2 linked regions of the Diceros bicornis minor genome follow. The protein of the gene in region 1 interacts with the protein of each later gene in a biochemical or structural test. Links are inferred from orthologs where the notes say so. Each region holds a gene or a part of one and is shown on either strand. Other genes may lie near its edges.

Region 1 (14,531 bases):
GCCCAGGGCCAATCTTCCTCAGCAAAAAAGAGGAGGATTGGCATCGGATGTTAGCTCAGGGCTAATCTTCCTCACCAAAAAAAATATATATATATTGAAACTTCAGATGATTTCCTTAGAGTAATCATTTAAGAACTTTTACTTTGCCTCAGTCTCTTCTTTGTCCATTAATTAAAGATGGCATAATTGATTTACTTTCATTCACACATGGAAAGTTGTTGATGCAAAATTACTGTTATTAGAACAAATTGTTAAACGCTACCCTTTAATTTTGATAATTACTCAAGAGGCAGGGATGTGCAAAGATGATGCAGAATCTACAATCCACTGTCATATAGAGATAAATATTTTTTTCTTCTACCTTTTTTCCACCTAAAATTAATTAGAGCCAGAAGCGCAATGGCAGTTCATTCACTTTGAAGTTGATTGGCAGAGATGATCCAGGGGAGGCAGTGGAGGAATTCCAGGAGCCAAAGATGGAAGTGGGGTATGTGTTTGAAGCCAGACATAAAAGATATGAAATCCCCATTGCTTAATATCATAACAGGGCCTGGAATAGGAGAATTTTGAGAATACATGTGGAATATATTTCTGCTTGTTGTAATAGCACAGAATTTATTCATTCACCCACCCGGCAAATATTCATTAACCCTATACTAAATGCCAGGCACTGAGCCAGGTCTGGATATCTATTGATGAGCTAAACTAGACCTTCTCCCCATCAGGAAATGACCCCTGTCATCCTTATTCCCATCCTCTGCCATTATATGTGCATCTTTTACATCAGTGTTGAACATGGTGTCCTGAGATAGTTATTTTGTTGAGACCAATGTAAGGCCATATCTTGTGGGTAGGGATCAGAGTCTTTCCCAAAAGGAAGTTGACATTCCCAGTGTCCCTCATCCATGGGAGCTGTTGAATCCTGAGTGAGGAAAGGATTTGGAAAGAGCCCTTTGACTGAAAAGATAGAGATTTCCTTTCTTCTCTTGATCCCATGAAAATAGCAGGGAGCTTGGTGGGATGTCAACCCTATGTGGCACCCTATAATAGGCCTTTGAGAAGCCTGTTAAAGAGATTCCCTGTGAGTAAGTCCCTCTCCCTGGACATTTTTTTTTTTTTTATAATTTTATTTATTTTTTTCCCCCCAAAGCCCCAGTAGATAGTTGTATGTCACAGCAGCACATCCTTCTAGTTGCTGTATGTGGGACACGGCCTCAGCATGGCCAGAGAAGCGGTGCGTCGGTGCACGCCCGGGATCCGAACCCAGGCCGCCAGCAGCGGAGCGCGAGCACTTAACTGCTAAGCCACGGGGCTGGCCCCTCCCTGGACATTTAATGCAATCTTTTGTGTGTGTGTGTGAGGAAGATCAGCCCTGAGCTGACATCCATGCCAATCCTCCTCTTTTTGCTGAGGAAGACTGGCCCTGAGCTAACATCTGTGCAGATCTTCCTCCACTTTATGTGGGACGCCGCCACAGCATGGCTTGACAAGTGGTGCATCGGTGCGCGCCCGGGATCCGAACCCAGGCCGCCAGCAGCAGAGCACACGCACTTAACCACTACACCACGAGGCAAGCCCCCTAATGCAGTCTTGTTAATGGAGCAGCCTGGTCTCAGCTGGGCTGTGGTGACCTAGAGGAAAGGTCTGTGTCCAGGCCTGGGCCCGGGCTGTCAGGGAAATCAATGCTCTCTCTCTGTAGTCAGCATGGGGCTGACAGAGGCCATTAGTCAGGTCCCCAGAAGCAGTTCAGTGTCCAGGGCTAGAGGTCCAGCCTCCCTTCTCCATCTGGGAAATCTCCTTCCATGGGTTGTTATTACTATACATGTAAGGGAGCCAGCTGGCTCCCTAACAGTGTATATCACCTTGTTATTTCAGATCTGGGTGTTAGTTATAGTAATTCTGTATTTAGTTTAGGTCATATTTAAAGGCTACAGGAAATTTACCCTCTAAACAGCAAACAGGGAGTCTAAGGCCACTTTCAGTATTGCCAGACAGGCAAAAATAATATGCAAGTGGTGTGCAATGTATCAGTGCTCTTAAGAGTCTAAAGTAAGTTGCTTTCAAATGTTAATGACTATATGAGGAGCAGATCATAGTAGATCTCAGATCATAGGTGAGAACGTCAACCTCAGTGGAACTGTCATTTTAAATTAAGACTTTCAACTTGATGGAATGTGACACCCCATAACCACTCAGTGATTTTCATTATCACCAAAGCATTAGAAGGTTGGCACTGAAGCTCCTCTTCCACCCAGCAAACATGGTCTCTGGCGTCCAAGCCTGGTGCCTGCAGGAATCCTGAGAGCAGGGCAGGAAGGGCGCCGCCTCCTTTCTTGGTGGTTTGTACATGTGCGTGTAAGTGCCCCATTAACAGAGGTGTCCCAGACAAAGGTCATGTTCTCCTTTAAGATGATAAAATTTCTAAATTAAAGCTTATTCAGGGTAATGTTGACTTCTCCCTATTGAGCTATTGCGTAATGTTTTATTTACTGAATGATTAACCATTGTTTGTACTGTTTGAGATCTCTTTCAACTTCTGAGCCAGCCTTTTCTTCCCCCAGAATGTTAGGCGTATGATGTTAAAGAAGCTTCAGAAATTACAATACATTTATTACATAGGGATAGAACAGTAGCCTTCCTTTCCTTCTGAGAATAAAAATAATCCAACTAAATGTATGTATGTTAGAGTTAAGGACTGAGAAGTTTATTTTTTCCCTAACGAAGTGAAAACTTTTTTTCAACCAAGTATTAAAGACGCAGGTCAGCCTGATGGATGGGGTCATGAATGAGGAAGTTAAGATTCCAATCCCAACAGTGGAATATTAAGGTCTTTCATTCTAATCATTCTTCAATTTGCTCACCTTTAAGGTAGAAGTAACCCTTCACATGATTTTGTGGGAATAAAAAGTTAAAAAGTGGTTTGTGCAAAGCTTAATTCTACTTGCTGCGAGGATTCTTTTAAGATCAAGACATTTAAATTTAATATTAGCACAACTAGATTTAAATATTCCCCCCTTTGACTTTTGAAACAAAAAAAGAAGCAGGAAGACATGTTCCCACGAAAGCTAATGCACAGCATGTTCCCACCCCCAGAATCTGTAGCGAATCTGAGCATTGCAATGTGAAGACGCGTATTTGTAAAATATTCCAACATCAGCTCTACAGTTTCCTTCTCTTTGATAAAGGATCAAACAAAGGGTGTGTCCCTCTCCAGGAGCTGCCTTTCTTGACAAACTGGTCTCCAACAAATACCTTTCAGAACCTTACAAAACTTCCAGAATGAAAAGAGCACAATGCTGGTCGCATTCAACTTAAATGCTTTTATTGACAATGTCTTTGAACAATAAGCAAACAATGCTTAAATTTTTCATTCAAATTCACTTTCCACATGTCAGAAGACCTCAAGGTAGAAAAAAATAAAATAAAAATATAAATATCTGAGAATCCATCTTAATAAATAAATTAAAAACACAATAAAACGTTTTCATGGAAAACTGTTAATGTCAGAACATTCAGACCACCTCAACAATGCATGATCAGTAACATTACAATGAACATTGATGTTGAAGAAAAACTACAGTACATGGATATAGCTATTTATTTCTATCTACTAGAAAATAAAGTCATATCTTTTCTTAGTTTAATATTGGTCATTGCTAATCAGAACACACTATTGCCAGGAACACAGTAGTTATTGTTAAAATCAGCTGCACTAGATACAATTTGAAAATATCCAGCACCAGGTTAATTCCAATAATGAACCCAATAGATTAGTTAATGCTATGAGAAGACTAAAGAGAAAGAGAAAAGAGACACAGACCCAGGCCTGGCTCAACATGCTACTAACTACCAGCTCTCAGATGTGTCACTGGGAACAATACACACTCCATGCGTTTTGCTACATCTCCGGAAGAGGTAAGGACTTGAGTCCACACGTGGATGCTTTCAAGTCCTTAAGGCCCACAGCCTGGTGTGTTTCACGCACAGATAAGGTCCTCCCTAGGTCTACGGGAACCCTCGAGGGAAGACGTGTTTCTCCTCTCTGTAATGCACCAACTGGGGCAGTGGCACTTATGTGTGCCTGCTGCCTCCCCTCCCCGCCTGCTCACAGGGCCAGCAGCGTGGGTGAGCTGAGCGAGTCAGAGGAGGGCTCATTGCTGCTGCTGCCCTTGCGGTGCGCAGCCGCACAGCTGGGGAAGGAGTCAGCCTCGGGGTAGGTGAAGACGAAGGAAGACGTGTAAGTAGTGCAGCTGGGAGTACAGGTGACCACCGGAGTGCACAGGGGCTCCAGCTCTGTGGCCATGGGCCCCATCCCCAGGGAGCCACCATGCAGAGGCTCCCAGTCTGCTGCATAGAAGGAACCAGACAGGTCCATGTCTGGCACAGAGCGGGCGGTCTCAGAGCCACTGGGCCTGGAAGATGCTGGGAACATGAAGTCATCAAACGGCTCGGCCTTCAGCTCCATGCTGCTGATGCTCTTGACAGGCTCCACTGAGGGCTTGGGCTCAGGGTCATTAAGGAGGGGCAGGGTGAAGGCCTCCTCAGATTCGGGGGTGGCAGCCTCAGGCAGGCCCCCACTCAGATCAAGGGAAGCCACAGACATCTCTTCTGGGAAGCCCAGGTCATTGGGGATCTTGCAGGCAGGTCGGTGAGCTGCCAGGATGAACTCTAGTTTTTCCTTCTCCTTCAGCAGGTTGGCAATCTCCGTCTGCAGAGCAGACTTCTCATCTTCTAGTTGGTCTGTCTCCTGTATACAGAGGGATAAAGCAAAGCATAAGACACAGTCTCAATCAAGGACATTGCTCCCTTATGCCCAATCTCCAACTTTCCTCTTAAGTTTTAAAAAGGAGTGACCCACAGGATCTACCTACCGCTTGGAGTGTGTCAGTCAGCTCCCTCCTCCGGTTCCGGCATTTGGCTGCAGCCATCTTATTCCTTTCCCTTCGGATTCTCCTTTTCTCTTCTTCTTCTGGGGACAACTAAAAGAAAGAAAAGAAGACCAACATTCAGTAACAGTGTCTGCCATCAGCTCCATTCACCCACCCCAGTGAAACTGGCTCCTGCGGCTTCCCAGCTTCCTGGCACCTTTTCTATGAAGCCGTTGCTAACCTGCAGTTGCAGGCTGGGTGTGACTTGCATTTCAAATAAGATCCTCAGCAAGAGAAGAAAGAATAGCCCAGTCTAAAAGCATGAGGTAGGAACCTATTAGGATATTTCTTGGGATGGGACTATCCGAGTCTGACTTGGGATGGAAAAGGCTTGGAGCCAGGGTTCCCTGTTCAGGATGTGTGGTCAGTTCCATCAGTGGCTGTACCCTCTCCACTGTGCTCCCCATCTACACCAATGCCCACTCCCTACAGAGAGTGGGTGCCAAAGAACTCCTCACCTGTTCCACCTTGCCCCTCCTGCCAATGCTCTGAGCTCTGCCTCCTGTCACTGTCTTCACGACTCCAGCCCTGGAGTAAGCCCCAGCCGGGGGGGTGGGGACTCCATAAGGGTGGGGAGCTCTGGTCTGGGATGGGGCCACGGAGGAGACCAGGGTCGGCTGCACCAGCCACTGCAGGTCCGGGCTGGTCGAGATGGCAGTTACCGTTGGGATGAAGTTGGCACTGGAGACGGCCAGATCCGTGCAGAAGTCCTAAAACGAAACAGAAGGGGAAAGCTGACGTGAGCGAGCAGGTTCTGGACACAGGTGGAGCGAGCCGAGTTCCCAGTGTCGCATGCAGCAGGGAGAGAGAGGGAGGAGAAACCGTCCTGTCATGGACCGCTCATGTCTTTTTATATGCCCCTCATCCTGGATGAAAGGTCTCCCCCTTTCCTCCCAAGAATTCCGCAGCGCGGTGCCTTTCTTCTCCATCCCTCTGCTGTGTTCCCGTTATCCCTTCAGCATCGCTCGCTTGAAAGGGGATTTGTTATAAATATCCCTGACGTCTGCGCTGACGCAGGCGCCGCTCCGGAGTCTCCTGAATGAACTCGCTTTTTATCAATGAAACTGCCTTACACACCCGCCTGCTTCACCCTCCTCCCCAGCCCCTCCTCCCTGCTCCAGGCTGCGAGGGGAGGGGGGGATTGCCGCTTTCTGCCGCCTCCCCGGAGGAGCCAGGCCCTAGTTAGCGAGTCTTTGCTTGGGACACGTTTGCTCCAACTAATGTCAGAGACCAGTCAGAGAGCGCGGGCCGGGGGCAGCTCAGAATGAGCCTGCCGCGGGAAAGGAGAACCAATTCCTACTATGACAAGCATGCCTGCGCTCCGAAGGAGTCCCGGGCTCCCGAGATGGGGCTGCTCCAGCCGGGGCAGCCTCCCTCCAGACCGAAAGGGGTCACTGACTCGTCTTTCTAAGCGTCCCGCCCCGGTGTCTCCTCCCCGGCCACCCCGAGCCCGGACACCGAGGCGGCCCGAAGCCAGCCTTACCTGCGCATTGACGGGAGAGCCCATGCTGGAGAAGGAGTCGGCCGGCGAGTGGTAGTAGGAGAGACTGTCTCCGGCCGGGGAGGCGCTGCTGCAGCGGGAGGAGGACGCCTCGTAGTCGGCGTTGAAGCCGGAGAACATCATGGTCGCGGTTAGTCAAAGCCGGGGCGAGGGGCTGAGGGGCGGAGACAGGTAGGAGCGGTGGGGCAGAGCTGGGTAGGAGCGCGGTCACTGCTCGCTCGCTGCGCCGCCGCTGGCTCTGTCTCAGCTTCCCGGCTGCTCACTGCAGATGCGGTTGGAGTACGAGGCGCCGCAGCTACTGCTTTTATAACAGCATTTTATGAATGAGCCCAACACGTCATGGGCGCAACCATCGTGGCGCCGCAGGGGTGGCTCGCGGACCTAGACACTTCTGCAGCCTCCTAGCTGCCTTCGCCGCCCTCGCAGCCCCCTCCCCTCCGTCTTGTTGTGTTTCTTTATCTTATGAGTGTTTAGCAACCTGGGTCTTAGGGGTCTCGTGGACCCCTTAAGATGAGGGATTTCGGGGATGACTCCCCCCACGACCTCAAGGAACGGCCGTGGAAACCTGCTGACGCAGATGTCCTAATATGGACATCCTGTGTAAAGGGGGGAGGATATTGACGGGAACTGCTTGCCGGCTGCAGCCAACACCAAGGGTGCAGCGCGGGGGGGCCGGGGGCCGCTGCCGGGGGAGGGGAGGCGGGAAAGGCGAAGAACGCTAGAGAACATTCGCACCTGGTTCAATGCGGACCCTTGTTCCCCGGGTGGAGTGGGGGCGCCTTTTTGCCAGTGTACAGAAACCAGGGAACAGTTCTGAGGCTCAGGTATGGAAGAAACAGGTACACCGCCCCGAGGGCTTAAGCCTCGGCCCCCGAAGGAATGCGCCTCCACCCCCATTCCCGATTCTAGCCCTGATTCAGTGCAAACTGTGGAAGCAGACCCTCACACCCTCGCCTGAAACCCCCGGGCTCGAGCAATACTAGGACTGTTAACTGCGTTTGGAAGCAGAAATTCGGCGGATCCAAAATAAGAGAATACGATAACCTACTTTGTCTACGATGCTGGGTATTTTAATTTTAATTTTTTTGTTTTTAAGGAAAAAGGAGCATTTTTTTTTCTCAGCCTTATAGGGGATATTAGCGTTACTGTCAAATCCCTGAGACACTAGCCAATAAACATCGTGCAGAACCTTCATGCAAGGATGTCTGAAGCGTGCGTTTGCCTGGTTCTGAGGGGGGCCCGGGGCATGGAGCGGGGGTGGGGGTGGAGGGTGTTATGTGGACAAGGTCGTCAGTTCGGGGTACCTAGTGAAGTGAGCTCTTGGAGGGGCGCAAGTCTGAGCTGCTGAGGTGGGAGTGGTTCCGTTCCCCCAGGAAGCTGGGCATACAGGGAGCCCGCAGCGGGTGATTTTCCAGCGCAGACTTGGAGGGGGGAGGACCGGGGCCGCTGGAAGGACCATGCCCAGCAGCGCCCAGGCCGGAGACCTCCGCCGCTGGGACCTCAGGCGCGGTTCCGTGGCCTGGAAATGGGGGCTTTGGGGCGGCAAGGTGCTCGAGGAGTGCGTTGCGCCCCCAGACGCCCCCAGCCTCCTGCTCCCTGCAAAGGACCGCAGGGGTCACACTGCCCCATTTCGATCCTAGCGTATCGGCCACCTCCGGGGCGCGAAGCCGAAGGTCCCCGCAGAGCCTCTGTGTCCCTTCCCCCACTCTTCGGGCCCGGAGGTCGTGGTGGGCATCTGGAGAGGGGCGAGGCGGGATTAGGGCAGCGGGCGGATCCTTCGGGGCGCGGGGGGAGCGGGACCGCCGACCTGCCTCCCGCCGCCGCACCCCGGAGCCAGGCGATCCTGCTATAGATAGTAACAGGGAAGCGGCTGTTTACAGCAACACTGCGCCGCCAGGGCCGTCTCCAGGCGACGCCGCGCGGCGGGGCGCGCCGTCGGCCTGGCGAGGCCCCCTCCCTCCTCGCTCCCCCGGGGCCTCGGCCTCCCCGGCCGGGCTGCGGCCACTCCCGCCGCCTGACATCATCCGCCGGGTCCGGGGGCTGAGCGGGGCCAGCGCGCGGCTGTGCGCTAACCTCCATTCTTAGAGATGCGAACCCGGCGGGAGCCGGGAGGGCAGGGAGGCGGGGATTCGTGGAACTGGGCCACTTGCTATTTTTGCATTCCCTGTCACAGGCAGAGGTGAAAACAGAATTTCATCATTGTATGTCACTGGTTTATGTTGGTGGGAATTAAGGCGGGTTATTTTTTTCTCACTTAAAAAAGGAGAGAGAAAAGGAAAAACACATAATACATAAACACAGACTTCTTGGAGCTGCTCTGAATCGTAAAGCAATTCTGTGGCCTTCCTTCAGTTCTCCAAATTCTGTCATCTGCCAGGCTACATCACTGTCCTTGATTATTTAAGAAAAAAAGTTATAAAGGTAAATCCATCTCTCATTATTATTAGCTTCAGACAAAGTAGGTCAAGTTCTGAATTCCTGGGTCTGGGCTTGCCTTCCATTCATAACTAGATCTCAGGCCGCTTAAGAGAAAACCTAGAATGATTTCATTTACTTCCCCTTCAGACTCTTGAAGCAGCTCAGGCCAACACCCAAGGGATGTGTCAAGATTTTATATCCAGGATTTATCTCATTTATCGCTTATCCTGCCTTTGCCAACACATAAAAAAGGAAAAGGGTATTTGGATGAACCTGTCTTCTCCAGAAAGCTTAACTCTTTCCTTCCTGGCACCATTATGACCAGAGAGTTGGAGACTTAGTAAATCCATCCCCTGAAAAGGACAGAACCATTCTTTCTTTCGTTCATTCTTTTATTTATTTAACAAAGGGCTATTGAGAGCCTCCTATGGCCAAGCACTGTGCTGGGGGCTGGCGCTCACTGTAATGAACAGGGTGGACCTGTCCCTACCCTCAGAGAGATTCCAGCCTCGTGGAGAAGACGGGCAAATCACTAGAGAATTGCAGGGCAGCAGAAAGTGGTTTGACAGAAGCAAGAACAAGGTGCTGTGGAACACAGAAGAAGGTTTGGACACAAGTATCAGAGGAAGTGACTGCAAAACAGCGATGGGACCCAGATCCACTGTTCTCTGGGAAATGACATGATGAAGATTGAAATGCCAGAGCATTATCTAGGGAAGCAAGTGCTCAACCAGAAGCAGTAGTATCAGACGATACAATCTCAGACTCCCTCTCCTGCCCCATTAACATAGGAACCCGTGGTCATGCTAACACACTCTCACATCTCAATCTACTCATGGTATCCATTTCAGGACTGCAAAATCACATTTTTAATATGGAGTTCGCATGGTGTAGCCTTAAAATAAAGGGAAATCAGAACCAACATGTGAAATTATCTTTGCTGCTTTCAAAGGTCAGGGTCACTTTGAGACAGATGTGTGTGCCTCTGCAAGCATGGTGCTGCCTTCCAGCAGGGCGGGGATTCTGTGTTCTGGACAAGTCTAAGCATATAAAACCCAAACTTACGTAGCTGGCGATTATCTATGTGATGAGTTCCTCCTGTCTGGAGATCCAAAAGTGAAAAAGAGGTCAGCATCCCACATCTGATTTTAACCCAAATTGAAAACAAATTCAGTTTTCCTCAGCAGTGCTTCCTTATCAGATAGAGGCTATTCCTATTTTGCACTTCTCTGGCATTTGAATTAAGAGACCTGATCCACATCAAGCATTTGTTCAATTGCTCTGAAAGTCGGGGCACGTTGTTTAGCCTGGTGTTATTGCAACATTAAGTGAAAGGCTGCTGTCTGTGCCACCTACGTAAATGCTGCCGCATACAACCCCTCCCCAGCATGCAGAAGTAGTTATTTATTTGGGGAAGTGTGGTCTAGTGGTGAAGGGTTGTGGTCAGAGCACGGGACCAGAAGTCAGGAAGATGCGTATAGCAAAATCAACTCCTTCAGGAACTTGGGGAAATCGCTTCTTACGCTTGATTAGCATCTACATACTTCTGGCCTTTGCCTTTTTCGTGTACTGATATTCACTTAGCACCTAGCACAGTGCCTGGCCCATAGTAGGTGTTCAATAAATATCTGTTGAATGAATGAATGCCCTCATCCAAGCAAGGTGAATATATATTATTGTCCTTTATGGGTACTTAGAAATCAAATAGATAATGTTCTTTAAATCTTTGGAAAGGCTGAACAGGCTGAGTCTTCTATTCTTGGGTATGAATAGGCAAAAATTGGGGAAGAGAAAATAACAAGATGTTAGGGCTATTTTCAGCTGGTGCAGTTTTTGTGTATAAAGAACTCCCCAGCGGTTCGTGATGAAAGATCAAACTTATCCTTGTTATTGAGCTCCATGAGAAAGACAGCCAGTGCCCATACATAAATGTCACATTGTCTGGAATGACAATGACCGTGTTACCACCACCCTCTAATTTATTCATTCTAAATGTCTAGACCCAAGGGGGAGAAGCTTCCCACAATTTTTGCAGGACTCAGACACATGTGAGCCCAATGAAGGGTCTTAGAGGTCAAAGTTACTCACCCTGTGGCTCAGACATCGAGCAAAAAGACTGCCCCTATTTTAAAACAGTGGAGGCATGGGATTACCACCACCATCACCATACACACACACACACACACACACACTCCACTACCACTACTAATTAGTACTAGAGATTTAGCCTCTTTGGGAAAAACTGTTTTCATTCTGAACAACTCTTGGCTTTTTGACAGGAGATGATGATTCAATGGGATCCCCGTCCTTCCGCTAATGCGAGCATTTAAACAAAGCTCTGTGTGGTCCCTGGGACACACTCCATCTGGAGCTGAGGAAGCTGGGGAACAGCTATGGTGCCTAACAAGGACGCATTTCAGCCCAAGCTCGCAGCATCTTTCACCACAACAACCAGCAGCATCGGACCCCCATTCTGTCAGTCATGCTGAACCTTGCTGCAGAAACAAGAGCTCCCCCTCTGCAGACAGCGAGTCTTCTTCAGACTGTCAGCTCCCCAGACGTCCTGAGCTGACCTTCTTCGGCTCTGGTGGACTTAGCTGCTAGAATTCCAAAGGAACCTCATCTACGTCACTAAGCCTATAGGAAAACACCACACCCTCATTGAGAAACCTCAACTGCAGGGCTCCCATCCAACGGGAAAACCTCACAGTCGGCATGCGCCGGGCCAGGGATGGCTAAAATGGGGTGGCACGTGACATACTCCAAGCTCTTAAGACATCTCAAGCATAGTTTAACCGTTTTATCCACCACCTCACTCAACAAGAAAGATCTTTAAAAGAGACGTTAATAATTATAACGCCAACAAAAAAAAATCCCCTTTCTTAAACCCGGAAAATCCTGACCAGTATGTAGGAATTCAGAGTTATGCTGCCTTCTGATCTGTAGATCATAGTTTCATCCTCAGATGTGAACACTTTTTGTCTTAGTTTAATATTTGATTGTGTTGTACAAGAAAACTTTCAGTTGCAACTCCCAGCTGAGGCCTGATTTTCCCCCTGATGTTTTACGTGGAGTGTCAATGAGTTACAGTTCCCTGTGAAAATCCCAAAAATGACTCTACTGAAGAAATCTACCTTCAGACTCCAACCCTCCCAAGATTGTGAGGTAATCGCTTAACTTAGGGGCAGATCGTACAGTGAAAGTCTACTCTCCCACTTAGTGGGGCTCTGACTTTAATCATAACACTAGACACTAAATCATAAAACCCTCCAAATTTGTTTAGTGGCCAATTTACAGAAGTACACTTGGAAAAATATCTACACTCCTTACCGAGGTCTACCAAGTCTGTGTGACCGGGCCCCCTACCCAGCCCTCCAACCTCATCCAGAAACACTTTCCCTCCTTCACTCCACTCCAGCCACACTGGCCTTCTTTCTCTTCCTCGAATATGCCAAGCTGGTTCTGTAGCTGGGCCTTTGTACCCACTGTTCCCACTTCCCCCCAGATCTTGATATGTTGACTCTTCCTCATGATCAATATCTGCTCAAATAGCACATTCTCCAGGAAGCCTGTCCTGTCCCCCATCCAATGGTGCATTCCTCCTCCTTGCCCCTCGGTCACTGTCTGTCACATTACCCGGTTTATTTTCCATGTAGGACTTATCAACTACATTACTCTATTTATTTATGTACTTTTTCATTGTCTATCTTCCTCCACAAGGCCATAAACTCTACGAAAGCAGAGTCTTATTCAGTAGGTGTCTATCCTCAGTGCCTATGCTTCTTGACACAAATAGGCACTCAGTAAATGTTGGTGGAATGAATGAACGTTAAACAGAAAGGTCGTCAGCTATTGCCCATGTGTCTGAGAAGGCAGCACGGATTCTCTTTTTCCATGAAGGGGTTTGATGGGTGACTTCTTGCCTGTGCCCCCACCACCACCATCCCCGGTGAGGGGAACCAAAAGCCTGATCTGCACCTTCTATACCAGGCATAATAATTTAGACACTTATAAGCAGAAAGGGTACACCCCCATCCTTAGAACTGTACAGACCCATCATATCTGCTGTCTAAATGCTTCCACTACCTGCCATTTAAGAGGGTGTGGGTGCTGTAGTTTTAAATCCACAACCACCGCACCCAGAAACAGTGATCAGCACAATGAGAAATTTCATCTGATGTGGGTCATCCCTCAGATCCTTTCTTTTCCACAAACTCAGCCTAGTACTACAAGCAACTTTTTAGAAAATGTTGGGCATAAAGATAAAAACCTAACCAGTGTTTTCGTTTAAAAGTGCTGGGAATAGTGCCATAATAAAACTTTTATGGCCCCAATACTAAAATGACTATGGTACCCTCCCAAGTAATCCAAAATAAAAACAATATTAAATTGCAAAATAAGTTTTTATTTGAAAAAATAAAACTTACAAGTATGCTGAAATCATGCCAGGACGTAAGTTCCATGAGGGAGAGAAAAATTGCCAGTTCCCCAGTGCCAGGAACAGTGCCTGGCACAACTGCAGGCACTCAATAAATAGACCGACTGGTACAGTTTTCCTAATTCTTTCTTGAATGCCCCTTACCCCCACCCCCGTCCCTGCCCCCGCCCCAGGACGCACTTACTTGGCTTCTTGGTCAATCCAGCCTTGATTATTTGACTGTTTGTTGATTGTTTGACTTGCACTGGACAGAAGGACTGAAGTATACTATACCACAGGATCACCTGAGGCCTGGATGCAGTGCCTCCATCAGCCCCATCCTGGCTGGAGCTGATCTCTGCGGCTACAAAGAGAGCACCACGTGCTCCCATCCAGTTCAGACTGCTTAGCACTGAGGGATGGGATCAGCCCACAGGATTCTTCATTTGAATCGTTTGGCAGAACTATTCTATTCCTTTTTCCAGATTAATCAAGTGGTTTAGGATAAATCATGGGTTACCTGCCCAGAGGGCATCTGTGGATGAAGAATCTTTGCTGCCGCTGGTCTGTTTGCTGTGAATGAGAAACTTCACAGTAGGTGGGGATTTTGGATTTGATTTGCTACTAGTACTTCACCATCCAAGTCAAGTTTATTTGAACCCAGGGCTTTATCCAGCTGGTGTCTGTCTGAGCTTGGAACTGGGAAAAGAGTGAAGCAAGGGGTTGTGAAATAGGCTGGGGAAATTGAAAAAACCTGATGTTCTTCAAATAGCATTACATTCATTGGCCCGCCAAATCAACAGCTCCAAGCCACAGTGAATATTTCGACATTTCTTACCCATCTCTGGCTGATATAGTAAAATGACCAGAGAAGCCTGTAAAAAATAATAATAATGGAGAAAATTGAAGAGTTTCAAATTAAATGATTTTAGATTGTATGTTTAGATGAGAGCAGCCCTGAGGTGTTTATATCACACATCTAGTTTGAGATTAATTTAGTCGTATTCTTATCAGATATCTTTATCCTGCTTTCTATTTTTCCACTGGTTTCAGAATTCCCTCCAGGGAAGAAAGGGGTTTGACATACCTCAAATTATTACTACCTTGCATAAGAACCAGAAAAAACAACTACCTACAGATACTACGGTATGGCCTCTACAAAGTTAATCCTTTCTTAAATCAAATTGTACAGAGTCAATTATCCTATTCTTTAGTCTTCATTCAACACCTTCATTAGCACCTACCATGTGCCAGTCACTGGAATCCA
Region 2 (15,055 bases), on another chromosome or scaffold:
AAAATTGCTCTTTAACTAGTTAGGAGTAAGCACGCAATAAAAGTTGTTTCCACACTACCCAATACAAAAGTTCTGTCCTGCAAAGAATAATTTGTGATGAAATCTTAACAATTACTTTTCTAGGTGTTTTTAAAATACAAAATTTACAAATTCAAGAAACTTCATGGGAAAGAGGGAAGTCATTTTGTGTCCTAACATTTCAGAATAGAGAAACAAGTTCCTTTATTTAGCGCACCTCACTATAACCAGCATTTAAATCACATGATACGTAGCTTTTTCAAAATAAAGTAAAAAGCTATTTAACTCTAGAAACGCTATTGAAATTTTGTTTGAGACTCCTTATGATTAGATCTGTGAATTACTCTGAAAGAGGAGCAACGGAGAATTAACTCAGACCCTGAAAATTGTTTCTGTGGTCTTATTATATGGAAATTAAAATTGCCTATGACATATCCATGGACAGAAGTCTAGTCTTAACTAATCAATTACTGCTACGGACCAATATCATTTGGCACATTGTACTTGCCGCAAAATTGAAATATAATTATTTTTCAAGATAGAATCTGATCAAATCCTTCTTTGGAATAAAAAGAGAGGTAAGGAACTAATTGCAAGAGGAAAAGTTTTATTCCTATAGTAATTATTTAAAGATAACTTTAAATAAACTATCAAAAAGTTCCACAAATATTACAGCTGATTTTTAGAATTTAACCTAGAATTTAGGAAAATCCAACTGAATTGTAGAGAAAAAAGGCAATACAATATAAAATATCATTTCGTAATTTTTAAAATACATGTCAAAGACAAATTTGATGGGAATTATTTCAATTTAAGCCAGGAATTTGGGTGCCATGTATCAAGCTGGTTTAAATCATCTAACAATGGATATTCTGGAATTTTGAAAGAAAACAAACAGCAATGCCAAAGGGGAGAAAATAATAAAAGATATCTTCCCATGACTGTTTTCAAATATAAGTTTTTTTTAATTTTTTATATATTTATTTTCCATTTAAAATCATTTAGATTACCTTACTAATAAGTTTTACATATTGAATCCTAAAATTTTTAACTTTAAATAATTTTTACTGCATTTAAAGACATAACACAAAAATGTGTCTGCCCTCAGACAACTTGAAATCTATTATGATTTACATAATTTGCATAACAATTCATAGTAGGCTTAATAAGGTTTGAACAGATTTAATAACCTGTTTTCCTTTGCGTAGGTATAATTACATTCAAAAAGACACAGAGATGAAATCTGATCATTAAATATATAAGGAAAATACAACTCACTAGTGTCAAATATTTATTAGTTGCCTACTTGTTTTTGAAGAAAAAAATGGCCAATGATGTTGAAAAAATTATTTTCAAAAAGAAATTGCTCCATCATTTTGAAACCCTACTTATGACAAATACTGAAAGGTCTCATTAAACATATAGAATTAACTATGAGTGATAGATCACATATCTAAAAATGTGTTTTCTTTCTTTAACATTGCCAGAAAAACATATGATACTAGTAAATATGCAGTCCAGTGTTCTCTAACTTAAAACAGCACAATAGTCTTGCACTACTTTTAGTTTTAAAATATACATCTGGACTTAAACTTTCCGCATAGTGTTTCAGCAGGAAGCTATTTAAAGCAACTGAGTTATGAGCCCTGAACACCAGGTTTCACGGTGGAAATGCTGACAGAGCCCTAACTGGAAGGGTGCTACTGGATACAGGGTGGACATGTTCCTCCACCACTTCTACCTGACCATCAACTATTGAGCTTAATTTGCAAACAGCTTTTTTGTCACTAGAATTATCTAGGACAGAAAAGGCCTGGGATCCTCTAATAGTATCCCTTAACTATTTTAAGCTTTCAGTGAGATACACCTGAAAGAAATGTTAAAAATATTTATTTCCATTTCCTTGACACCTGGGAGGACTGAACATTTCAAAACTGTAGAACTTTGTTAAAAATATAATGCTAATAAACAACTTTACATATTTTAAAGTGTACTAGTTGTTTTTGCATTTTTCCATGTTGAGTATAAACGAATTAAGTACTTTTGTGTATCCCCAAAACAAGATCTTTTTTTGTATAACCCCAGATCTCTACTAATAGGTTACTTCCGTCTTAATACTATAGGTTATCAATATCATTTTGAAGCACTATTTTAAATTAACATATCAAAACACAGTCTATTGAATTCATTTCTGATTCTCTACAGTGCTGAGCTCAGTGTCACAGACATAAAATACGGGCCCAATAAATACCGTATTGATTTGAATACCAGACTTCCCAACAATTGAGTTCTCTGTGTGTGTTTTTAAATATATTTACCTATCCTCTATCTACCACACAACACTATAATTTACTTTGCACATAGCTCTAAATATGATAGCCAAATTGCTATCATCACTTTTAAAACTAAGACTTCATATTATTTCTTCATTGCAGATGTATTTGATTATGTTGCAAGAGTGAAGAAAGTCTATTGCTCTCAGGCTTTTATCTCGAAAGTAAGGTAAAGAGAGGCTGTTTTTACTAACGTTCAGATGAAAATAAAAACTGTTGTCAAAATCTAGATGTTCCAAATATCTACACCTCTTTTTCAGCAGAGACAAAACTTCTATATTGAGTGGATCTCAGCTATCATCAGCTATCTGAATTTTGTTAAACACAGGCATGGAGGTGGAAAACATTGCGAGTCAAGTTTTAGGTTAACTGTTTTTCAATTAAAATATATAATTTTATATGTCCATGTGTTGTCTACGGTTTTGTTTACTGTTTGAAAGTAAAATTACTCTGTAATTAACAAGTATAACTAATAGCAAAGAAAGCAATTTATTTTCAAAATTAATTTTAAAATGGTGGTAATGAGAAAATCTAAAGATAACCAAAATATCTGAGAAAAGCTCAAACTAAATTGCATTCTCTTTATGCCAAAAACATCTTTTCTATCCAAAATACTAATACTCAAAATTAACTCAGCAGCATAAACATAAGAGAATAGTTTAAGACAGTTATACCTAAAATACGTTTAGCAGAACAAACGGAATGTAAAACATCGAACATCTAAAGGATATCTTTAAAAATGTAGGCACCTATCCTTATATTTTCACATATCTTGACTTGTGGCATTGTATAGACAAAATATCTACTTATTTGCATTATTTGCTGTTTTCACTCAGGTTTTTTGTTTATGTTTTGAGGTTTTTTTTGGGGGGGAAGGTTGGTGGAAACAAATTTCTCACATAAGGCTAAATAGAAAATTCTAGGCCCTTGGACGATGAACATTGTAAAAGATATCTCTTGTATGGAAATTCAAACTTCTACAATTCACATATATTCTGAGTTTTTCATATTTCAAGGAAGAAAATATAACCTACAAAATGGGTAGTTTACAAAAGGAGAAATGGGACGGTTAAAAAAAAAAACACATTTCTTGAGCCAACTGCAAAATGAAACTTGCCCCAGAACGCAACATCCCCTTTCCATAACAATTCATTCTGATTTCTTTTCTGATATAAGACCCAGCGAGATACCCAGCTCTAATTGACCTGGACTCCTCTTTCCACGCCACCCACACACGGAATCTGAATTGGTGCGTGGGGGGCAGGGGGCCGATCAACAAATGGGAACTGCCGGTGGCCCGTGGGAGTTTCGCCCCAGGATTCCCAATGCAGGAACTGGCACGATTCCTCCCCATTTTCCCCCTCCCTCAAGGCCTTGCTCACCCTGCTCTCCAGAGACCCCAGAACCCAGGGGACCCAGGCCCACCTTCACGAGTTCAGAGGCTACACAAGGCCGGAAGCGCCTTTCGGAGCGCGCTCTCCTCCCTGTCTGGCTCATCGCCCCCTCCATCCCCGGCGTCCAGTCCCGCGAGTGAGGACAGCCCAGGAACCCGTTTCCCCATCAACCCGCCGCGCGCTCGGCCTCGGGGGCTCCGCGTCTCCCCCTGGCGAGGGCTGCCCGGGGAAATCCTGATCGCATTACGGAACCCCCTCGGGCTCCTGTGAGAGGCTCGGGACCTGACACCCTCAACCTGCAGCGCCGCCGCCTGCGATCCCGCCGCCGACACCCGCCCTCCAACTAACGGGCCGGGCTGGCGGAGGAGGCCGCGGGGCGCGCCGAGGGCGCTCTTAAGCCCCAGGGGTCACTCCCTCCGCGCCCAGGCCACCGGCCCGAGCCTCCCACGACCTTTCAGAAGCAGGAGGGACCCGTGGGATTTCAGTCCTCTGAAAGTCATCGTAAGACAAATCCGCACATTTCATCTCTGTTCAAGGCGGGCGAACTGAAGGCATTTCACAGGTTTCCTCATCCCTCCCAGGCGGGGCGCAGCGGGGAGCTGGTCCGGGCTGAACCGGGCGGCCCGAGCCCCCGCCCCCTCCACTGGCCCGCGCCGCCCCGCACTCGAGGGTCAGGCGCCCAGGACCCGGGCGCGCGCCGACCCCAGCGGCCCCGCCTTCCTCCGGTAACGGGAACTGGCGCGGGGCTGTAAGCCGCGCAAACGCCCCCGTCCTGTCTCCCTCTCACCCTCCCCGGGTCCCTAGGTTCGCCCGGGACCCTCTTGGACACGCGTAACGCGGCCCACGGGCCGCAGCCGGCACCCGGCGCCCAGTCGCGGGCGCGAACGCCTGGCGCCGGCGCCCCACGAACAGTGGCCCCCGAGCCCGGGAGGGGCCGGGCCGCTGAGGCTCAAGCGGGTCAGAGAAGGGGTCGCCGAGACGGGTGGCGGGGCGTTCCGCGAGGAAGGAGGAAGGTGGGAGCGCGCGGAATCCAGGCGAGGGGGGCGCGGGCAGCCCGCGGTGTGGGGTCGCCGGGATGCCCGGGGAGAGGGGATGCCCCGGAGTCCAGGGGAGAATGCCGGGGATCCTCGCCCCTGGGGAGTGGGGGGCGGGGTGGAGCAAGTCGGGGTGGCGGCGCAAGGAGTGGGCACCTGGGGGCTGCTGGGGGGAGGGGAGACGGCTCAGAGGAGTGGGTTAGAACATGGGCCGGGAGGCTGGAGGGGTGATGAACGGATGAAGGGGACAAGGGCTGCGGTGGTGGCTGCGGGCACAGGTGGGAGAGGGAAGCATCTGCGCAGGGTCACTGCGCCCTGAGCCCGCAGGGGGATCTGGAGGAAGAGGGCCAGCCAGGGGTCCCTCGGGTCAGAGCCACCAAGGTAGGAGGCCTTGGAGGCCGTCCGGGCGCCGGCCCCCGCGGGCAGAGAGACGCCGGCGGGCAGGTCCCGCGGCGCCCAGCCGGGGGCGGGGGGCGGCCGCAGCTGCTTACCTTGAAGGCCACGGGCAGGGTCTTGTTGCAGCGCCAGTGCGAGGGCAGCACGGAGCACAGGAAGTTGGGGCTGTCGGTGCGGACAAGCTCGGCCGGGTGGTCAGCGATGATCTCCACCATGGTGCGGTTGTCGTGCGGCGGCCGCAACCGGGGCACCGCGGCCGCTGCTGCCGCCGCCGCCGCCGCCGCTGCCGCCGCCGCCGCCTCTTGCTGCTGCTGTTGCTGCTGCTGCTGCTGTTGCTGCTGCTGCTGTTGCTGCTGCTGCTGCTGCTGTTGCGCAGCCACCACCGGGCTCACGTCGCTCATCTTGCCGGGCTGCAGGCTGCTGGAGGGGGGGCTGAAGCGCCGGCTGGTGCTCGGATCTACGGGAATACGCATCACAACAGCCACAAGTTAGCGAAGTGGCCGGGGGAGGGGGAGGAGGGTGGAAATGAGGGGCGAGGAGGAGGAAATTGGGGGGGGTGGAGGCGAGACGGGGGAAAGGGGATGGAGGTGATGGGGCTGAGGAGGTGAGAAATCAAGTTCGATGAAGCCAACTGCCGGGTGGAGTCTGACGGGCCCCGCGGTGGCGGTGCGGAGCAGTTGGGTTGGCGGGTGGGGAGACCCGGGAGGCGCTGATCCTGCCGAAGCCTTTGGAACACCCGGGGTGGCAGCTGCGAACCGGCGCGGGGATGTGTTTCGCCCGGCGAGGCGGGGGGCTTCAGTTTGCAGCTTGGAGTGGGGTCCCTTGGGGCACCACGTCCTGGGTGCGCTGGCGCCCCCTCCCAGTTGGAGTCCGGCGGTGGAGCGGAGTGAGTTCAGCAGTCCAGCTCCGGGGTCGGCATAGCCGCGCGCCACCCGCCACCGCCGCGCCGCGCCACGCCGAGCGCAGCTCCCCAGCTGCAGGCGTCCGCGCCGCCGCCCGCCCGCGCCGCTGCCGCCGCCTCCTCCGCGGCGGCCGCCGCTCCCCCCGCGCCGGCTGCACGCTCAGATTCCTCCCGCGGCGGCTGCCAGCCCGGCCCCCGGGCTCGGCTCCTTCCTTTCCCTTCTCTTCTTCTCGCCCTCTCACCGCCACCTCCTTGCATCCACTCCCTCCTGCTCTTTGCAAAGCTCCCCTGATCCTCGCGCTTCGAGGTGCCCAGAGGTAAGTCGCGGGCAGCGGAGCTCGGGGCAACGGATCTCGAGCCTGCGAATCGCAGCCGCTGCCGCCGCCCGCCGGCCGCGAGAAGGAGCCCCCCGGACGCCGCGCGCAGCTTCCGAAGCCGAGAGAGGCGGCCCCGGTCTAGGGGGAATCTCGCCTGGTTGCGTCCTCTTGCTTCTCCCCCCTCCCCCCAGGACAAGGAACCCCCTCTTGGTCGGATGAGGTTGAAGCTGAGACGCCAGAGAGCCGCCGGCTGATCTGACTGTCGTTATTTTTCGTTGTAACTTCAGGAGAGGAGGAAGGAAAATTCTTGAGCGTCTGTGCTGACTTCTCAGTACTCTTCACCCTTCCCCCACCCCACCCCCACCTCTGCCCGAGCGGCTCCTGGGGAAAAAAAGATTTTGCAGGGTTTGGGTGCTTTTTTGTCTTAAGTGACACAAAAAATTGGGGTGGAGGGAGCACTTGTCAAAATAGTTTTTAGAAACTCAAGTGGGTGGCTGGACACTTTTGTCTTCTATATTCAAACTTGTCGTTCCTAGAGAACAAGGATGAGTTTTTTTAAGGACTGGAAAACTGTCGGCTTGATGATTAAAATAAGTTGCAAAAACCTTGCTGGGGAAAAACCCCAGCAGTCTTCCATGAATTTCAATCTTTTATTAAGTCTATTCTGCATCTAAAACTAAGTCTAATGTCTTAACTTTCTTCCCCACCACTCCCGGGGGGGGGGAATAAAAATACAAAATAAAATATTCAAAATGATTCAATGGCTATTTATTTATGTATTTATTTCCCAACCTGGGTTAAAAAAGCGACTTTGGATCCCCCCAAAAAGTTGTGGTCGAGAGGATGAAGGAGCGCGGGAAAAAAGCGGCAGTTTTACCTAAAATGTGGTTTTTGGAGGCTGGGATTTCTAATGATTAGGTTTTTGTGGTTTATATAGACACGACTCTGGCTAAGGCGATCATTACGCTGATGAGAGTCAGAAGCACGTGGGTGTCTCCGACCAGCCTCAAACTCTGAGCCTTCAAAACAAATCAAACAATGTGCGGCGCCCACAGAAGCCGGGAAATCCGCTTGAGGCTATTGCACCCCTAAGAACGGGGCACAGGGCCCTTTCCACTCCACGTTGTGTACTGCTAAGTTCCTTGCTTACTGTCAAACGCCTTTAACCTCCCAAAGCTTGAAAACGTGTTTGCAAAAAGAATCATCAGTTGCCAAAGTTTCTAAGGTTCCTAATAGCGTAGCTGACACAGTAATAAGTGATTTTATAAAATAAATGAAAAATTATAATGCCTGGCCCTAGGAGTATTAAGGAAGCAAGATAGTTGAGTCATCACTTATCTCCCCTCATCTTATTTAAAACAATTCATACACCCATTAATCGGCGAATTTATTGCTCAGCGCAAACGCCTCTGTCACTCTGGTAGCGACCTGCCACAACCCTCCCTCTCGGTTTTTAAAGCTTTTCTTCCACTGGCTGAGACGGCGCTCGGGGTCTGCGCCTTTGCAGGGGCCTGGGAGAACTTCGAGAGCATCGGGGGCAGAAGGGGGGCGCAGAAGAGAAGACCTGATTCCTGTCACGGACTCTGGAGCCCATTTCAAGCGCAAGATGAACTGGCAGGGATGCAGTTGCATGACTTGGAGACCAGGATTGCCCTCTAAAGAGATGCGAGGGCGACTGAGCGTCTTCCAACCGCTGGAGCAGAGGTGGGGGGCGGGGGGGCTAGGCGTGCGCCCTCGCGGGAGTAAGGATGGGGTTCAGGGGGCACTGCTCTGTCCTTCCTCTTTTGGGCTTTATTTTTACCTTCCCTTTCTCCATTCACAATTCCACTCCTCCCTTGTCCGTCTTTCCCTTTCCCACTTTTCTCTCCACGTTCCCGCCTCTCTCCAAAATCCCCCCACAGACGCGAGCTTCGTCGCCGCGCCCCTCCCGCCTCCTCTGCCTTCCCAAGGCCGCCTGCCACCCTCGGTGACGCATTCTGCATCACCCGCTACGACACCCCCTCCTCAACCTACTCCTCGCCCCTGGCCACCTGGCTTCCAGGCCCGGGCGCCGCCGGGGTGCGAGGACCCCCTTATCCCGGCGAACTTGATGCACAGCGAGGAACCAAGCTGTCTGCTGCGCGTGCGATTTTTAATTATCTTTTCGGTCACAGGGGAGAGCTCTAACCCCGGGCACCGCCGCGCCGCCTGAGCGCACGGGGGTCGACTCTTCCCGAGCTGCACGCGGCCGACCCGCCAAGGGAAGCCAGGCTTACCCATCAAAAAAAGACCAGACTGCATCCATTACTCTGCTACCTTACACACCCACTCACATGCATTCGGACGCGCACTCTCGCACATCCACACTCTGACACTTATAAATACACATACGCAACTCACACACACTCGAATCTTTTATTTTATTCTTTTATTTTTTTGCCTTTTAGCGGGGCAGTTTTATTTTGGGCACGTTGTACCACTGTCTAACAAAGATCTCTGACTTGTTTTGTTTTTAAATGTGTGGGGGCTGCAAAGGAGGGAAGAAGTTACAGGAAGTGGATTATTTCTGTGGTCAAAGGGAGATAGAAATTCAGTAACTACCCTAGTAGGTGATATGCCGCCTTCTCTAGGGTTTTCCTTCTTCTCCCAGGAAGTCCACAGAACGGGAAACTTCCAGAAAAGACGCTAAGTAACAGGCAAGATTTCAAATATGGGCGACCAGATGGGCTTTTTTGAATAAGAAATTCTAGGGCAGTTTGAATTTAAGTAATCATCTTGGGGACTTTCCTCTGTCTTTCTCTATCGCTGTTTTGTCCTTTCTTTGTTTTACTTGGTGGATAGCAAAATATGAAGGCCTCAAAGGTTGAGTCCCTTGACTGGGGATTTTAGGGGCGATTTAATCAATGGTGAATTATTTATTTTAATTAATCATATCCGGTAATTCAGCTTTATAGCCTTCCTTGGGCATCCTCCCTCCATTTCACATTTCAGTGGAACTAATATAAGCAGCTCTTGGAAGTCACTAGTCTTGGATCCCTTAAAATATCCTACAGTTATTTATAATGTGGAAATGAAATTTTCCACTGAATACCCTAACAACGTTTCAGGTATCTGGCACAGCGGGTTTTCAGTCTCCTTTCAAAAATATCCTCTTGCTGAACATTCACACTTTCAACTGGAACTGACTTAGCCTGGAACTGATGATGTCTTGGCTCAGAGCATTATACTTAGAGGAAGAAAACATTTTTACAGACCCCTAAACTAAACCTCTCCTGGTAATAGTAGGCACATAGGAAAACCATGAAATTTTACATATGTGTATTTTGTGCTATAGTTTGCATGATCTCACTCTTGAGTTTAAATTTTCTTCTACCCCAAATGTTCAGAACAAATCACCACTAGATTCCTCTTCAGAGGTATTCATCTTTTCTGTTGTATATTATGGCATAAAAAACAACATACATTTTTCTGAAAATGTGGCTACTTCAGAAGATATAAGCATAATTTTCCCCTCCATCTCCTTTAACGTTTAATATAACTGCTTAGTAACAACAACTGGCAATTTTGACTTTCCAGACAAAGAAAATGATATGTGAAGCAGTCAAGTTATTTATCTAGTCAAAGTACTGATCCCCCAAACTAGGAACAGAACTCATGCTTTCTGCATCCAGGTTTCATCTTTTAACCCCTATACATTATTTTACATATACTTTTTCGTAATGAGAAGTGAAAAAGTCACTGTAAAATCTTAAAATAGTTTTCAATGGACCAGCTAATAAAGTGGGACAACCTTTCAGATGTGCAATGGAAAATCATGGACATAATGATGATCCTTAAAGTTTTGAATGTGTTGTATGGGAAAACGGAACCATCTTTAGCGAGTTTTCCTTTGGACTATGATGGAGTAAAAAAGTTACCCAGCCCTTGTAGAAGTGGCACTGCCACTAGATCAGGCCCAATCTGGCCTGATGCCTATTTTTGTATACACCGCAAGTTGAGAATGGTTTTTGCATTTTTAAGTAGTTGGAAAAAATTTAAAGAAGAATAATATATATGACACATGAAAATGATATGAAATTCAAATTTCAGTGTGCACAAATGTTTTATTGGAACACAACTATATTCATTTGAGTATGTATTATCTGTAGCTGCCTTCACCTAAAACAGCAGAGTTGTGTAGTTGTGACAAAGATTATATGGCCTGCAACGCCTAAAATATTTCATATCTGGTTTTTTACAAAAACGCTTTGTCAAATCCCTGCCCTAAAGTGAATGGGATGCAGGACCCTGGTGGAATGGGATAGCAGAAAGAAGTAAATATTAAAGAAGATATTGGCATGGAGTGTGTATAAGGTCCAGATTAGTCATTTAAAAGTGAAAAATGCTTCATTTAACTTATTCTTTTCTGTATAAAGTGTTAATTAATTAGACTAATATTTTTCACTTAATAATTTTGGATGTGCCAAAATAGGGAGGAAAGAATGAGAAGTTCATGCTTTTTCACAAGCTCCTTAAGAACCATTGTCTTACACATCTCTGTATGTCAGCATGTTCCATTGTCCTTCAGAGTGGGAGCACATTAACTGCATAGATGAGAAAAGAGTAAAGAAACTTTCGTGTAGCCTGAACCTGAAAAAAATAGGTAAGGCTTTAACAGTTTACTTTATCTGTTTTACAGATGATTACACAAGAAACATAAATGAGCTTACCAAGAATTTTCTGGTATATGATATTTTCACAAGTCCTACACGGTATATACTTTTAAGACAGCTTAATAACTTAAGTGATCCCAAAGCCATCTGACATATTTTTTCCATTTTAATTTTTTATACAGTTAAATACTATATGATTTGTTTTAAGCTCACTAATTTTTTCCCTTTGTGAATGGACCTATAATAATTTGCATGGCTGTAACAAGAGATGAAATGTTTGTAGTGGAGGGCTTAGCATCATAAACCTTTCCTTGTTGTTCCAGTTAGCATTCCCATGGGCCATTTTCAGGCCTTTTTAGAGAGTATGGCATTGTCATTAAAAAGCTGACACTGGCCACATGATCTTTCAGAACCACACTTATGGAGCATCTGTCTAATTGCTGTTTAGGAATGCACTGACTAAAGTGACATATATTGTGTTTGACTAAAATACCAACTTACTAAATGACACTGTATTTACCTGAAGAGACCAATGTAATTTCTAAAAAGAGTCTAATTAATTGCCCAGGAGTCAGAGAAATAAAACTAATTTTCTCAAATCAGCCCTTCGGTATTTTAGTGTTGGCAACAGTCCTAGGTGGTAGCAGTAATCTTTGAGAAGTAGTGGAATATTACATGTAAAAGTTTACAGAGGTCTGTGATGAAACATCTAAGAACACCCTAAAATTAAACATTTCCTGTAGTAATTGAACCCTTCTTTATTGATATGCTCACATATTACTTTCAAGGCACCAAGGAAGGTTGCTATCCAATTCTAATCCCATTGCCTAGGGTTCTAAAGTTCGACTTTAGACTTTGGGATGGTGGCCTGAACCATTTATCCCCTCTCCACCTCTGGCCATCAGGGTGAGAAAAGTAAGTCATAATATTCTTGGTCCATCTAACAAAGTACAAAAATCAGCATTTTCTCAGTGTGAGAAATTTGTACAAACTAGAAAGGCAGGAAAAATAGAAAAGAAAAAAAATAGAAAAACAAGTGTCCAACTTGGTTCTATTAGCTGCAATCCTAGGGGATGCCAGTTCTAGGTCACTATACTAAGTGTTTTGCTCCTCTGGATGTCATACTCAGAAACTCTTCCCCAGTGTTTTTCCCCAAGCTTTCCTGAGCTATACTTTTCTCAGAGAAAGCACTTTCTTCTTCCCATCTAGCCATGATCAAGTTCTATAAGCAATGATTCTTTTATCTTCTTTGACTTCAAATGATTCCCCTGAATTATTTTTGTTGGGCAGGATCTATTCCTCAATCACATTCCTACACGTCACTATTTTTCTTCCTGATCATTTTTCTTCCCTAGGTGTGCCACTTATCAACTTATTGCCTCTCACGTCCAAATTCATGCTTTTTACCTGCTCTGTGACAATGGATCTGGGCCCTTTAAATATTTCTCCTTACCAGCTGGCATTGATGTTTTGTCAGTAGGGGGCAAAGGAGAGACATTGCAGGAGGACAGGATTTTGCTTCCTGGTTCCCTAGTGTTCACACAGCAGGTTTCTACAGCCTAGCACAAGTAGCTTCTCCAGCTTCTGGCTCCTGCAGTGCACACACATGCAGCTTCCCCAGGGCCCAGCTGCTGCAGCAAGGGTCGTTTCTCCAGTGCCAGGGTCCTGCAGGGCACAGCCCCCAACAGCCCCCAGCAGCTTCCCCCAGCACCCTCCACCCTTGGCTGTTTTGTAGCAGTGTGCCTCTGGTGAGACACCTACTTGTGAACACATTTCCCCAGCACCCTAAAGGAGAGATCCAGCAAGTTCCACCAGTGCAACTTCTCTGCCATCCAGGGAGCCAAGGCTGTGCTCTCCTAACCAGGTCTGGATCTCAGCCCAGGGGGAGGAAGGAGGAGGACTCTTCCTTGGTTGCTCTATTTCAGTCCTGAGGGTAGTGGATGCTCTTATTCCTGTAGTCTTTAGAGTTCTCTTTACTTTTTCCTAGCCAACTCTTTGTTACTTCAATCCCTTGTTATAGTCAACAATTCTTTATATTAAACTTTCCTTGTTCAAATTACCATGTGGTCTCTCTTTCCTCATTGTTCCCAGACTGATATGCTAGAGTTTTAATTTTCTGGTCCCCAAGATGCTCTTATTCACACTAGTTTCCATTTTGGTGCACTCCATTTGGGTCACTATAAGATGAGTATTTCCATTGTTACATCACATCTATTAAATGATTTATCTCTACCTGATAAGTATATACTTAGAAGGCATATATTCTTAACAGAAGAAGGTGTGGTCAATTCTTTTTTAAGTTCTTTTTTAAATATATTACTAAATGTAAATTGGTCAATATTTCCCCCCCAGAGTCCTCTTGACATCTTCCATGAAATCCTATAGTCCACACTTCAATTAAAATATACATAAATAAAATCACACGCAAAAATTCCAGAGCTGCTCTATGCCTAGATCTGATAAAAACCAGGGCCAAGGAAGGTGGATAGATATCTTGCAGGATCAGAAGAGCAAAACCCTACCCCCGAGGAGAGGAGCGGGGAGCAGGATTATATGATGCTGCCTTATTGTACTTAAAGTCAGAGACTAGGCAATGCTATGGCTCTACAGTAAAATAAAACAGAAAAACACTGGAGGGGCCGGCCCCGCGGTGCAGTGGTTAAGTGCCGGCACTCCGCTGCTGGCTGCTCGGGTTCGGATCCCGGGCGAGCACTGACGCACCGCTTGTCAGACCATGCTGTGGTGGCGTCCCATATAAAGTGGAGGAAGATGGGCACGGATGTCAGCCCAGGGCCAATCTTCCTCAACAAAAAGAGGAGGATTGGCATGGATGTTAGCTCAGGGCTGATCTTCCTCAAAAAAAAAAAGAAAAGAAAAACACTGGATTAAACAAAACAGACCCAGCACTGCCAATTTTCTCCCAGGTTTTAATATGTTATATACATCTTGAATCTCCATGAGAAGAACCTAGAATACACCATTTCCCAAATTTATTTAATTATTGCTTCTGAGTGGACTTAAAGGTCTTTGAACTATTTTTAGAAAATACTGAGCTAAACCAAAGTGGAAAAAAATTTGTTGGAACATTAAAGGGACCATCCAGTCTAGAATGGAATATTGTAATATAGTAGAGAAATAAAGTTGAATAGGCTGCATATAGTTAGGTCTCAGATGGCCTTGGTACCATGATTCCTACCTTATACACATTTACAAGTGGGATAGTGTTCAGGCTGCTTCTAGAAGCCATGCTCTTTGTCCTTGTCCCACTATTCTAGCCCATTACCCTCCTTGGTCTGAACAGGAGAGTTGAAAGGAAGCTTCTCCGGCCACGGCCAGCAGTAGGGTGAGCCAGACGCGTCCTGCAAGTGCAGGGTCGGATCCCATCTTTATTTAAAGTTTTGATACTTTGTTCATGATGGATCTTTTGGTATTAAATTTGATTTTTAAGAATATTGCATTAAAATATTATCTTAAATAACGGGCTTCTTGGAACCCCCTCAAATTTTGCACCCAAGGCCAGTGCCTCAATTCATTTCATCCTAATCCTAGCCCAGCCCTAGCTCTGAGGGTACATGTACAGAACTTACAGAGGGATTCCTAACCTCCCTGCTTCGTCACCATTTACTTTGTTCTTTTTTAAATATATTACTAAATGTAAATACAAATTACAATAATTCCATATTCTCCCACAAAAGAACGCATCTTATAACTCTCAGTACCTAACTGAGGTTTCAACAGCAGATATAACAGAAGAGTTTGACATTCGATAACATGTAAAGGAAGTGTGTGTGTGTGTGTGTGTGTGTGTTTACCTGGTTATCACTCTTTGGCAAAAAATAGAGATCATCTGCTTCTTACTATGCAATTTGAAAAAGGTGACGCTGTGGCTTCTTTGTTGTTTAACTCTGTTTTAGAAGAACTATCTTCAATTTTATTTAAATAAAATATTTTGCAAACACAGTACAGTTAGGGCCTGTTATCTTTCATTTCTAGAACTATATCTTTGGTGTTAAATTAAATTCTTTTAATAA

Evidence for each region.
Region 2: the proteins of FOS (region 1) and RUNX2 form a complex in vitro, tested with the Homo sapiens proteins (2 studies listed by BioGRID). The link is inferred for Diceros bicornis minor from reciprocal best matches to the Homo sapiens genes FOS and RUNX2.

The regions. Positions count from the first base shown.
Region 1 is NC_080763.1:23,182,714-23,197,244, reverse strand, and holds FOS (protein c-Fos), read right to left. Parts: upstream 6,689-14,531; 5' UTR 6,553-6,688; coding exon 6,412-6,552; intron 5,639-6,411; coding exon 5,387-5,638; intron 4,980-5,386; coding exon 4,872-4,979; intron 4,748-4,871; coding exon 4,106-4,747; 3' UTR 3,301-4,105; downstream 1-3,300. UniProt on the Homo sapiens protein: Nuclear phosphoprotein which forms a tight but non-covalently linked complex with the JUN/AP-1 transcription factor. In the heterodimer, FOS and JUN/AP-1 basic regions each seems to interact with symmetrical DNA half sites.
Region 2 is NC_080753.1:20,600,008-20,615,062, forward strand, and holds the start of RUNX2 (runt-related transcription factor 2), read right to left. Parts: upstream 5,676-15,055; 5' UTR 5,649-5,675; coding exon 5,271-5,648; intron 1-5,270. UniProt on the Homo sapiens protein: Transcription factor involved in osteoblastic differentiation and skeletal morphogenesis. Essential for the maturation of osteoblasts and both intramembranous and endochondral ossification.